Linked DNA regions of Daphnia pulex. The main gene of each other region encodes a partner of the protein of the gene in region 3 in a complex. Links are inferred from orthologs where the notes say so. Each region holds a gene or a part of one and is shown on either strand. Other genes may lie near its edges. The genes, in order: 60S ribosomal protein L11, ribosome production factor 2 homolog and HEAT repeat-containing protein 3-like.

Evidence for each region.
Region 1: HEAT repeat-containing protein 3-like (region 3) and 60S ribosomal protein L11 share a complex: the UniProt entries of both Homo sapiens proteins name them as parts of the hexameric 5S RNP precursor complex. The link is inferred for Daphnia pulex from reciprocal best matches to the Homo sapiens genes HEATR3 and RPL11.
Region 2: HEAT repeat-containing protein 3-like (region 3) and ribosome production factor 2 homolog share a complex: the UniProt entries of both Homo sapiens proteins name them as parts of the hexameric 5S RNP precursor complex. The link is inferred for Daphnia pulex from reciprocal best matches to the Homo sapiens genes HEATR3 and RPF2.

Annotation. Positions count from the first base shown.
Region 1 is NC_060026.1:15,189,504-15,193,259, reverse strand, and holds 60S ribosomal protein L11, read right to left. Parts: upstream 2,386-3,756; 5' UTR 1,945-2,385; coding exon 1,930-1,944; intron 1,714-1,929; coding exon 1,600-1,713; intron 1,375-1,599; coding exon 1,077-1,374; intron 863-1,076; coding exon 768-862; intron 546-767; coding exon 510-545; 3' UTR 459-509; downstream 1-458. Other genes in the region: uncharacterized protein LOC124205486, read left to right, coding at 2,596-2,672, 2,750-2,879, 2,950-3,154, 3,243-3,475; uncharacterized protein LOC124205485, read left to right, coding at 3,544-3,756.
Region 2 is NC_060026.1:16,289,027-16,292,157, reverse strand, and holds ribosome production factor 2 homolog, read right to left. Parts: upstream 1,936-3,131; 5' UTR 1,793-1,935; coding exon 1,776-1,792; intron 1,717-1,775; coding exon 1,584-1,716; intron 1,519-1,583; coding exon 1,359-1,518; intron 1,293-1,358; coding exon 1,013-1,292; intron 953-1,012; coding exon 808-952; intron 744-807; coding exon 585-743; 3' UTR 550-584; downstream 1-549. Other genes in the region: spermatogenesis-associated protein 5-like protein 1, read left to right, coding at 2,179-3,131. UniProt on the Homo sapiens protein: Involved in ribosomal large subunit assembly. May regulate the localization of the 5S RNP/5S ribonucleoprotein particle to the nucleolus.
Region 3 is NC_060021.1:11,401,772-11,405,437, reverse strand, and holds HEAT repeat-containing protein 3-like, read right to left. Parts: upstream 2,884-3,666; 5' UTR 2,723-2,883; intron 2,663-2,722; 5' UTR 2,662-2,662; coding exon 2,464-2,661; intron 2,399-2,463; coding exon 2,323-2,398; intron 2,265-2,322; coding exon 1,737-2,264; intron 1,675-1,736; coding exon 1,567-1,674; intron 1,506-1,566; coding exon 1,167-1,505; intron 1,088-1,166; coding exon 396-1,087; 3' UTR 346-395; downstream 1-345. Other genes in the region: serine/threonine-protein kinase 16-like, read left to right, coding at 47-292; glycine-rich protein 5-like, read right to left, coding at 3,378-3,666. UniProt on the Homo sapiens protein: Plays a role in ribosome biogenesis and in nuclear import of the 60S ribosomal protein L5/large ribosomal subunit protein uL18 (RPL5). Required for proper erythrocyte maturation.

The DNA.
Region 1 (3,756 bases), on a different chromosome or scaffold from region 3:
AATTAAGGATACAAATAATTATAAATAAGTAACTAGTAAATTGCGTTTTCTGATAACGTATAAAGATAAACGTCAATACCTTATCGAAGTTTGTTGAATACTAAGAGCACGCTTAATCACGTCCGAATAAGTCGGCTGTCAGACGACACTACACAATTGCTAATGGTAAATAACCAGCCAGCTGCTCTATATGTAGATATTTTGATAGCGGCAACAATGTGTTGAATCGATTTATCTATCGATAATTCGTTGTCGATTTATTGTGTAAATTTTAATTTCGATATTAAAAACTTGCGAAAATTAATTAAACTTCAATTTCGGATGTATTTAGTGGTCATTCATAATCCCTTATAATTTATAACTAATGAACTTTTATCGAATATTATTTTTTAATGGAATTCCCTTTCATTAATAAACCATTGTAAAATGACACGCATAAAAGAAACAAAAATGGCAAATGGATTTCGCAAAACGGTGTATTTTGCAACAGAACGAAGTACACACAATGCTCATGCCTTCTTTGTGGGGAGGATGATACCGTCGTACTGTAAAATAAAGAAAGAATCGTCGTTAAACAAGCGGCTTCATTAAATTAAATATTTTGTAGGAGTATGCTTGAAATTCTGTGCTATCAATTCAGCCACATATTCCGATTTAACACATTCATAATCTAGCAACATTAACAGCGAGCCCTATCCTCAATCATTGTTAAGATAGCCCCAGCAATACATATTGCATATATTTTTGGACTATTATTATGATTATACCTTCTGCTGGAACCATTTCATGGCATCTTCGCGCTTCAACCGGTGCTGGAATCCAACTTTGCCGGTCTTGCGACGACGTTCGGCTACACTGAAGCCTAGAATCAAACAACAATTAATTAGACTAAATTGTCCTGAATATTACAAGACATTTATCTCTATTATTTAGTAACTAGCCCAGTAGTTGAAGTGAGCCGGAGTTGCAATAAATAGAATTACTATAGCACGTTTTGATTAATAATTCCCAAGAAATACTAATAACGTAAATCTAGGGACGATGCTTGTGCAGATGAAGTAGAAAGGGTGAAGTACCTGGGCGTCCCAAGACAACATAGAAGTCAAGGCCGTAGATACCAATGGAAGGGTCGTACTTGATACCAAGATCAATGTGTTCTTGAATACCAAAACCAAAGTTTCCAGTATCACTGAAGTTCTCTTTCCTTAACTCGTATTCCCTGACTTTCAATCCTCTTTCGAGGATCTCCTCAGCCTTGGCTCCACGAACAGTGCAGTGGACAGCAATCTTTTCATTACGACGGATACCGAACGAACGCACGGTATAACGAGCTTTGGAGAAAACTGGCTGTTGACCAGTTAACTGTTCCAACACCTAGAAATAAAGGAAATGGGTTTTAATGGAAGTTCCAATGACAAGAGTTTGAACGAAAAGGTTGTCTCCACAATTTAGTAACTAGCTCAGTAGTTAAAGTGAGCCAGAGTTGCAATAGATGGAATTAATGTATCACATTTTAAGTTTAAATTTCCCACGACATAATATTAACATACATCAAGGGACGATGCATGTGAATGTAAATCTTACTACTAGTCAACATACCTTGGCGGCCCTGGTCAATCTGTCACCAGATTCACCAACACAAATGTTCAGACAAAGTTTTCGGATACGCAATTCGCGCATCTGGTTCTTGGACTTGTCCCTCTTCACCTGCTCCTGAAATATCCGAAACGAAAAGAAACACGTTAGGTCTGAAAATGTTGAAAGTCTCTTGTTGCACCGGTAGAAAGATTATCACTGGCATCACATGTAAATATTTCAAAACTACTAGTTTTGAAGAGGAATATCGACTCGTAATAAATCGAATAATGAAACTGGAAGAAATTTCAATTCAAGACAGATGAAATACGATAATAATTTCAAGGAACTTACAGTGGTCGCCGTCATTTTGGAGCTATGCGTGAAAAACAAGAGAACAAGACCACTCTCAGGCAACGCAGCCTATGCTAAAGAAATGAAGTATAGCTCGAACGTTGCCAAGTAAACGGGCGAGGTTAGCATTTGATTAAACTTTATTGAAAAATGATTGAAATATTCAAAGCAAAATTCGGTTTTTTAGTTTATTGTGATGAAAGTGTAACTTTGTAGTATTTTTTATTGTTTAAACGTTAGTAAATCAGCATTGAAATGAAAACAAATCTAACGTAATCGATTGTTAAGTATCGATCTTTAGACTATTTTTCGAAGTATTTTTAAACTTGCTTAAACAATTAAGTAAATTTGAATTGATGTTTAATGTTATTATAGTTTGAAGGATAAATGTCGTGTCTGATTTTAAAAAATCGTGTCACTGCACAACACGGAAAATTGCAATTCCCCGTGCAATTATTTGCACACTCTATTGAAAACCGCAAGTGAACTTGAGCAAACAATAATCAGCTCACAACAATACTTCCACTGCGTCCAAGAAAATATGCCCAGTACTAAAAACAAAGCCAAATTTTATTTACCTAACAGGGGAAAAATAACGCAAGCATTGATTTATTTCGTCCGGTTGTTGATTCGATGGCCACGTAGTGACGGGCAAAGTAAGAAAACATGGAAACAGTTTCGCGTGAACAAACGACGGAAAAGGCAAACAAAGACGCAACGCAAATGCAGGATCCCAGTACAAGGTACATATATATTCGAATTACGACCTTTCTTCTTCAATTTCAGCCGTTTGTGTACTTACAAATGTTGTCGAAATCAGGCTGAGCGACATCATAAAACAGTGCACCAATTCAACTGACCATGTCAAATTGGTGGGCGAGAAAGGGGAGGCGGCCTTGGCTACCAGTCACGACGTCCTGAAACGCTTGAAAGACGATGGCTGCGATTTGGTAGATTGAAATTCTCAGCTTTTTTGGTAATTGGATTTCATACACATTTCTAATTATATTGATTTACAAGATCGGAAGTGTCGAATCGAGTTCGGCGGTTCGCACTGGACGTCAACTGGACCAGCGACAGGCCACCGAGACGGAATGTACGTCATTATCCGAAGCTTGTTCCACTCACGTTAATGCCGTCGACATTACATTGCAGTCGACATGGACGGAGGCTTTCAAAAACACGGCCCCTCATCAATTAACAGCGGACATACAAGAAATTCAAGGTATTTCACACCTTCGTGTAACTCTCTAATTTTTAATTGCAGCTCACGAAATACAAAAAGACAAAATGGTTTATAACTAAACACCCAGGGATGAGCGACGACGTGCTAAACACCCAGCAGGTACTGATTGACCGATTACGCGAAGAGGTGAATCAAGCCGACAAAATTATCCAGCTGGAAATTGAGCGCCAGACGGAAGATCTCGGCGTGATGCGCAAAAGGATGAAGGATCATTTGGATTTCACCCGGACCACCCAGCGCTGTCAACTGGGAGAGATTGACGCAAGTTATTTAATTCTTTTTTCCATCAGACAAAATTAAATTTAAATATTTTACAGTCAGCTTTTGGCAAAGACTACAATTTGTTGCTGGAAGATCACTCGAAATTGATGGATAAAATGCTGTCCGATTGGTCGACATCGGAGAACGAAATCATTCACGAACTCAACGACATCGGAAGCCATTGGGTGGACGATTTGGACGAGACGGACGCGTACTATTACAGCGAATGCAGCCGAACGCGCCACCGTCTAACGGCGGACATCCAGTTGATTGAGCAAGAACTGGAGAAGCTCAAAGTCGATTTCACTCTCAACAACGAA
Region 2 (3,131 bases), on a different chromosome or scaffold from region 3:
CGCCTTCACTCCGGAAGCCAAACAAGCCTGGACATCCACCATGCAAGGCATCAACACCGTCATCGAAGCTTCTGCTTGAAATCCATTACTCCCACATTGCAAGTAGCTGCTTTTCCCACTACCGATCAAAATAATTACATTACAGGCATATGTCAATAAATTGAAATGACGAGTAATTAAAAATACACAATTCGGCATTTCCATTTTACCTAGTTTTTGTGGGGAGATAAATTCTTGTAGTTTTAATTCAAAATAGTGGTGATACCTCTGGCAAAGCTAAGATGTGATTATTCATTTAACACTAAACCATAAGCCTTTAAGTGCTAGAAGCGGAGTCGACCAATTCCCAGTTAAATTTGTTTAGTTCCTTTTCTTTCTCAAATTCTAACCGATCCAGCAAATCCATCGATACTGGAAAAATTAAAGTTAATTCAAAAATGCTTAAAATAATATTACCAATAGAGTAACCACAGGTCCACAGGAGAGAAAAACACTAAATGGAGGTACCTAATAAGCCTGATAATTTAAATCGTGCACAGTACATACGAGTCGTGTTTGTCAAAGTCTTTATTAATTTCAACCGTTCACTTCTTGGAAAGTTTTGATGCTTTTTTGGGTGACTTTTCAGTCCGCAGAGCTCTTCCGCGTTTAACTTGCAACTTTCTGTAATCTTGACGTGGCATGTGAATGCGGCCGAGTTTCGAACCGAAAACGTCCTTGGACATGTTCTTGACTTTCTTGGGCTGTTTAAAAGCAAATAATACTATTCAGTAAATTTGAAATGGAAGTAGCCAATAGAAAAATTACCTTGGCAGCGCTTGGTGTGCGACACGCCCGTTTGAATAGATCAGCTGAGGCCAATTTGGTTCTTCTGATGACCAAGTCGGCCGAAGGTCCGATTTCTTCCAATTCAATATGAGGAGTTTTAGTTCCACTTTTGGTCATCAAAATCCTTTTATAAAAACTTGATTATTACAATCTCAAAAATGAAATGAAAAATATAGAAAAATACTTGTAACTGCGGAGGAAAATCTTGCCGTCAACAGCCGTGAAAGAAAGAGCATGTTCGAAACCAGCAAGACGAACTTGTTCCACTACTTCTCCACGGAAAAAGTCGATGAGCAAAGATTTGCATTTGGAATACTCTTCGTTTTGGTGCCAGACATCACCAGAGAAGATCAGGCAAGGCTTGTTACCATCCATCACTTTGGCGTTGCGAATTGCAGTCAAGGATTTGAACTGTTCCACACCAAATTCAATCATGTCGAGCAACTGGTGGTCAAACATTCTTCCTGAAAATTTAGATGACTTTTAGTTTAGGCCATAAATTCAAACAAAATTTAGAGATCAAATTGTACCCAGAATAACATTGTTGGGCCTCTTTTTGTTGTCTGAGCAGAATGCAAATAAAGAATGGTCATATTTCTGAGTCAGTTCTTCTATCGGTTTAACATCTTCAAATGGATTGTAAGGGTGTTTCTGACCAAAGTATGTTGATTGCATCCGTTTGATGGCATACTGAAGTAGAACGAAATGTTAGAAAACATACAACCCAAAAGCTTATAAGCTTGTAGCAATAGTACCAAATCTTTGACAAATTGAAGGGATGTGACGCTGGCAGTAGAACCACGAAGCATCAAAGCTTGTTTAGCCAATTCAACGATTTTTGGCTCTCGTTTTGCCAGCATCCGCTTACCGCGGTGGGTCTTGGGTTTCCTGCAATTAACAGATGATAATCAATTTTACGAAAAAATACTTGTAATTTCTTCACTTACGTAATTCTGACGCTCATTCTGTTAACAGTATATTAAGGTACGAAATGTCACACAAAGTAATATTTAACAAGTTTGGATAACTTGTTAGGATTTTAGACAGACACGTCTCCCAACCAACACGCGGTTTGAGTTTGAGTGTAACAATTCGTCTGCTAGAACTTGAGTCTCAAATTGCAACATGGCGAAATTAAATTTTGTAAAAAATGCTACAATTTCTCTGAAATGGTACAGAAAAAAAGGGATAAAATAAAATTGAACTTGAATCAAATAACTAATGACATTTGTAAAATTTTTCTTTAATTTTTCATCTTGTTTAGCGTCTTTGGCAACGCCGTATCTCAAATCAAAATAACAGTGACAGCATGCCCCGAAACGAAAATATCTGCAAAAATCAAGAGTAAAAATGAATACTGTCGTTATTGGTTCAGAGATTGGCAGTCAAAAGTGCTGTCTTCCTGTTGCGGAATTTGTAACTTTAAATTGTCAAGTTGGATGCCCAGTGAAAGTGACGACAAACAAGGGAACCTTCATTTGCAAGCTCTTCCCTAGGACTGATTTGAAAAATGATGCAGTTGTTGAAAATACCGTTCAAATTTACAGTGAACGTAGAAAGTTTCTCATCACTCATCCAGTAGTGACGAGGGATTTCAGTGTTTCAAAATTGTCACTGAAACCGGCAACAAGTATAACTGTAACTATCGTAACTGATAGTTTTCAAAGTGTCAACCATTTGAAACAATGCAAGTTGCCCCTGTTGATCAAGAGTCTTCTTTCAAACAAGATCATCACCCCGCTTTCGTCAATCACTGTTGGCAAATACTTTTCCGCAGGGAATGTAGAGAAAATTTTGGTCCTGGAAACGAAACCTGACGGTGGAGCTCTGACAGTGTCTGCCAAAACCCAAGTCAAGATTGAAAACATCATCACAGAGAAATGGATGAAAATTCAAGAACGAGTCCAAACGACAAGAATGGGAGGAGTAGATGAAGCCTACAACAAATTGAAAGAACTAGTGGTGTATCCTCTACAGCATCCCCAAGTGTTTGCTCAACTTTGCGCGCCTAGAGGAATTCTTTTACACGGTCCACCGGGCTGCGGGAAAAGTTCAATCGTCCAGCAACTCTGCGCTGAAAACGGCCTGTTTCTCATCCCAGTCACTTGCTCGGATCTCTCGTCATCCGATCCAGGAGGCAGCGAAGACAAATTGAGAAACATTTTCAAGGAAACTTTAAGCGTGTCGAGTCCCACAGTTCTATTTCTGGACGGCGTGGATTCCATTTGCCCTAAACGAGGTGGTCAAACCCACACAAATCGTCTGATTACTTGCCTAACGGGCTTGATTGACGACGTTCATAC
Region 3 (3,666 bases):
TATTTTAAAAGTTAAGTTTTTTCCATAAATTGTGACTTTTTTTTAGTCTTTGGGGTGCCTGCTATATGCCCTCTGCTACTATAAATCGCCTTTTGATGAGGTATTTGAACGAGGAGATAGCGTTGCTTTGGCTGCCTCCAGTGGAATGAATCATTTTCCAAATTCCACTTCCCCAGGAGTCAATTCGTCGGTAAACGACTTAATTTCCACTTTGCTTGTTGTTGATCCCAAAGAAAGACCTTTCATTGCTGATGTTCTCAGTTCAATAGAAGCTCTCAAGGGGTTGTTGTAGGCTATAAAACTCTAACCAATAACAAATCAATATAATAAATGCCAAAAATGAAGAACAGTCCAATAGCAACTTTTGTTAAAGCTTCAACAATTCATACATTACATTATCGATTAGCTAACGATCGTTGCTTTGTCTTATACTTGATGAAGCGGAGTAGATTGTCTCTAGCAGTCATAACAACTGGGAGGTGATCCGCCGGTAGGCTACGACGTTGTGAATGGACACGATGCTTGAAAGTGGGTGCCAATGTTCTTAAACGCTCCACCAGTTGAACATCTCCAACAATTGGGTCTGTGTGATCCTCCTTGAAAACATCAAATAAGGCATCCATAGCTTCAGCTGTAATCCACAAGTCAGGAGAAAGGCAAGCAGTGTCGAGAAGGATTTGACCGATTCCGCGAACAATCGAAGATCGAGGTTCCAACATGGGTGGTTCAACTCCAGCTGCCATTGAGCCAAGTGTGCCGAGTATCTGAAGCAAATTCACTTTTGACTGAGGATGAGAACAGTCTACAACTCTCTGACAGAGGAGAGTGATGTCTTCTAACTTCAAAAGGTTGACTATGTCTTTATGATACGACAATTTTCGAATTATGGCACGCATAGAAGCAGTTGCACTTCCCAGCATCTGTTCCGACTTACTACCCTGGAAAGCCACGACTGCTAAGCCACACCAAATGTCGAATAAATCCTTGCTGCCACCAATATCGTCAACTTCGAAAACCATCACCATGTTACTTAAACACAAGAACCCCATACATTGGAGCGCTTCGTAACGTTTAATAAGAGATTTTCCTGAAATCCAAAACAAGACAAGATTATTTCAATTTACCTTCCACTACAGAATGAGAGTTGAATCAAGTTAAATACTAACCTGTTGGGTGCTGATTTAAAGCTTCAATTATATTCGTTGCCGGTAATTTTGCTTTTTCAATAACCAGTTGAAATAGTCGCGCATCGATGAAAGCTTTCTTCAACTCGGGATTCAAGTCTATAAGGCTTTCTTGAAATCCTTCATTACCCAGTGATTCATCGCTAATGGATTCATCTTCGTAGAATTCATCCGAGTCGCCATCGTCTCCAGAACAACAAATATTGGTTAATATTTCCAGAGATTTTATTTGAGCAGAGATTAATTCTTCGGCAGCTTCGACAGAATCGTATAATTTAGAGGCCAAAGAATCTTCTTCCATTGCATCCCCACCGTTTTCATCTATAACAAAATTAGGATACTGAAAAGCCGAAATATGATTAGCATTAATATAGAAACAAACCTTGAGTTGTCGGTAAATGATCGACCACTGAAGACGCTGCCTTCCTTTGATCAAGGCAAAGAGAAGAAGTCAGGATATTTATAATATCTTGAGTTGACTGTCCCAATTCTGATTTAATTTGAAAAATTGTTAATACAAATCTAGACACATTTTATCAGCACAGAATTTACCTGAATTCAACTGCTGATGGTTCAAGTTAAGAAGTATCATAAGTGATAGAGTTTTCAATAAAGGGCTAGATTCTTTCACATTGAGGAATTTCGAAATAATCTCTTTTTTCAAAACTTCTGTGTAGTCAGTATCACCCTGTTCTTCAGTTACTGTGCTGAGGAACTGGACAACCGACGAAACAACATCTAAGCCATACGCATTTACGTCCAAATACGAAATTAACATGGAAACTATGTTTTCGCGATGTATCCGGTCAACAGCTAGAGTGCTGCTTTCGGAGAGAAGATTTAATGTTGCAACTGTTTCTAGAAAGGTGGCTGTAGAAGTATCAATTTTGTTGCCAGGTGCTTTATGAGGTTTCCACTGTGGTGGGATTCTCTTTAATAAAGCAATCAGTGGTGTTAAAATGTCGTGTTCAATGGCAAGCTTGATCGCTTGATCTCCTCCTTTTGAAATTATCGTATGAAGTGCTGAAGCAGTAGAATGACAAACAGAGGCACTTGTATCCAGCAATAGAGGACCAAGAACTAAATAAAAGCGTAAATCGTTTTGATTCTAATTTTCTTATAAATTGACGATGCATACCTTTTATTAGTCCTTCTTGTAATGCTGCACATGAATCCTCATTATTTCTTATCAATCCTGCTAATGCATGGCAAGCCTAAACAAAGAAAAACATAGTTACAGAAGATGATTAAGAGGGAGGGAGAATAAAAGGTATTATACACAGTCCCGCTCTTCTGCTGATGAACTTTGTAACTGTCTTGAAAAAGACTTTAGGGTTTCTGACGAGAGGGCAGTTCCAGTATAAGGACTCTTGACAGCACAATCCATCACAATTTCTTCAGAGTCAGATTTATTAGCGAGTCCAGTGGGATTATCACGAACTTGCTTATTATGTCGGTTCGATTTGGATTTCCCCATCCTACCGGTATGTTGAGGTTAATTTTTTATCCAAATAAATGGAAATAAATTTTTCACTTACCTAGCTGACAAAATTAATAATATGGAGAAAAATTATGTTATCCAAGTTTCGTACAAGTAACTATGATAACGAAAAACCAGAAACGATCTCCCGCACAAGACTTGCACAAGAACCTTTCAACATGTCAGAGCACATGTTTGATAAGCAGACGAAAAAAGAAATGTTTACTTCTATCCCCAGATGGCACTTTTGCACTTTTACTTTTTCTTTTACTGTATAAAGAAATACCGAAATTCGTCCGTTTCAGTAAACTAATAAAGGGTCCTATCGTAAAGTAAAAAGAGAGCAGAATACAAGACGAAAAAGACTATCAAGTGAATTCAGAAAAAAGCTATTGTTGATGTTCGTTTTTTCATTTGTCCTATTGAAAAAGCCTTGAATGTGATAATTAATGGTTACTCTGTACTTCTCTAAAAAATACTATCAAGTCTACTATACACAGAAATGTTTATTCGGAATTATAGTAAATATTAAAGTTGGTTTATTAGGAACACTTGAGAAAACGGTAGTGAAGAATACTTCTCAAAATCTGTAAAGACAAGGACGATAGTGAAAATAGTTTAAGAAATATATATGAGGACCGATGAAATTATTCAAGCAATGGATGACAAATATTCTGAGATTATTCAGGATTTGTAAAGGGAAAACGGCGGAGTTAATAACCTCCTTGAGGAGGAGGAGGACCATAAGAGGAAACTGGAGGCGGCTGGAAAGATGGAGCAGAAGCATATCCAGCTTCTGACACCCCACCGTATCCCCCGCTGGAATGGCCGCCTCCGGAAGCCCCACCGTATCCGCCGCTGGAATGACCGCCTCCGGAAGCCCCACCATATCCGCCGCTGGAATGGCCGCCTCCGGAAGCCCCACCATATCCGCCGCTGGAATGACCGCCTCCGGAAGCCCCACCGTATCCGCCGCTGGAATGACCGCCTCCGGACGCTCCA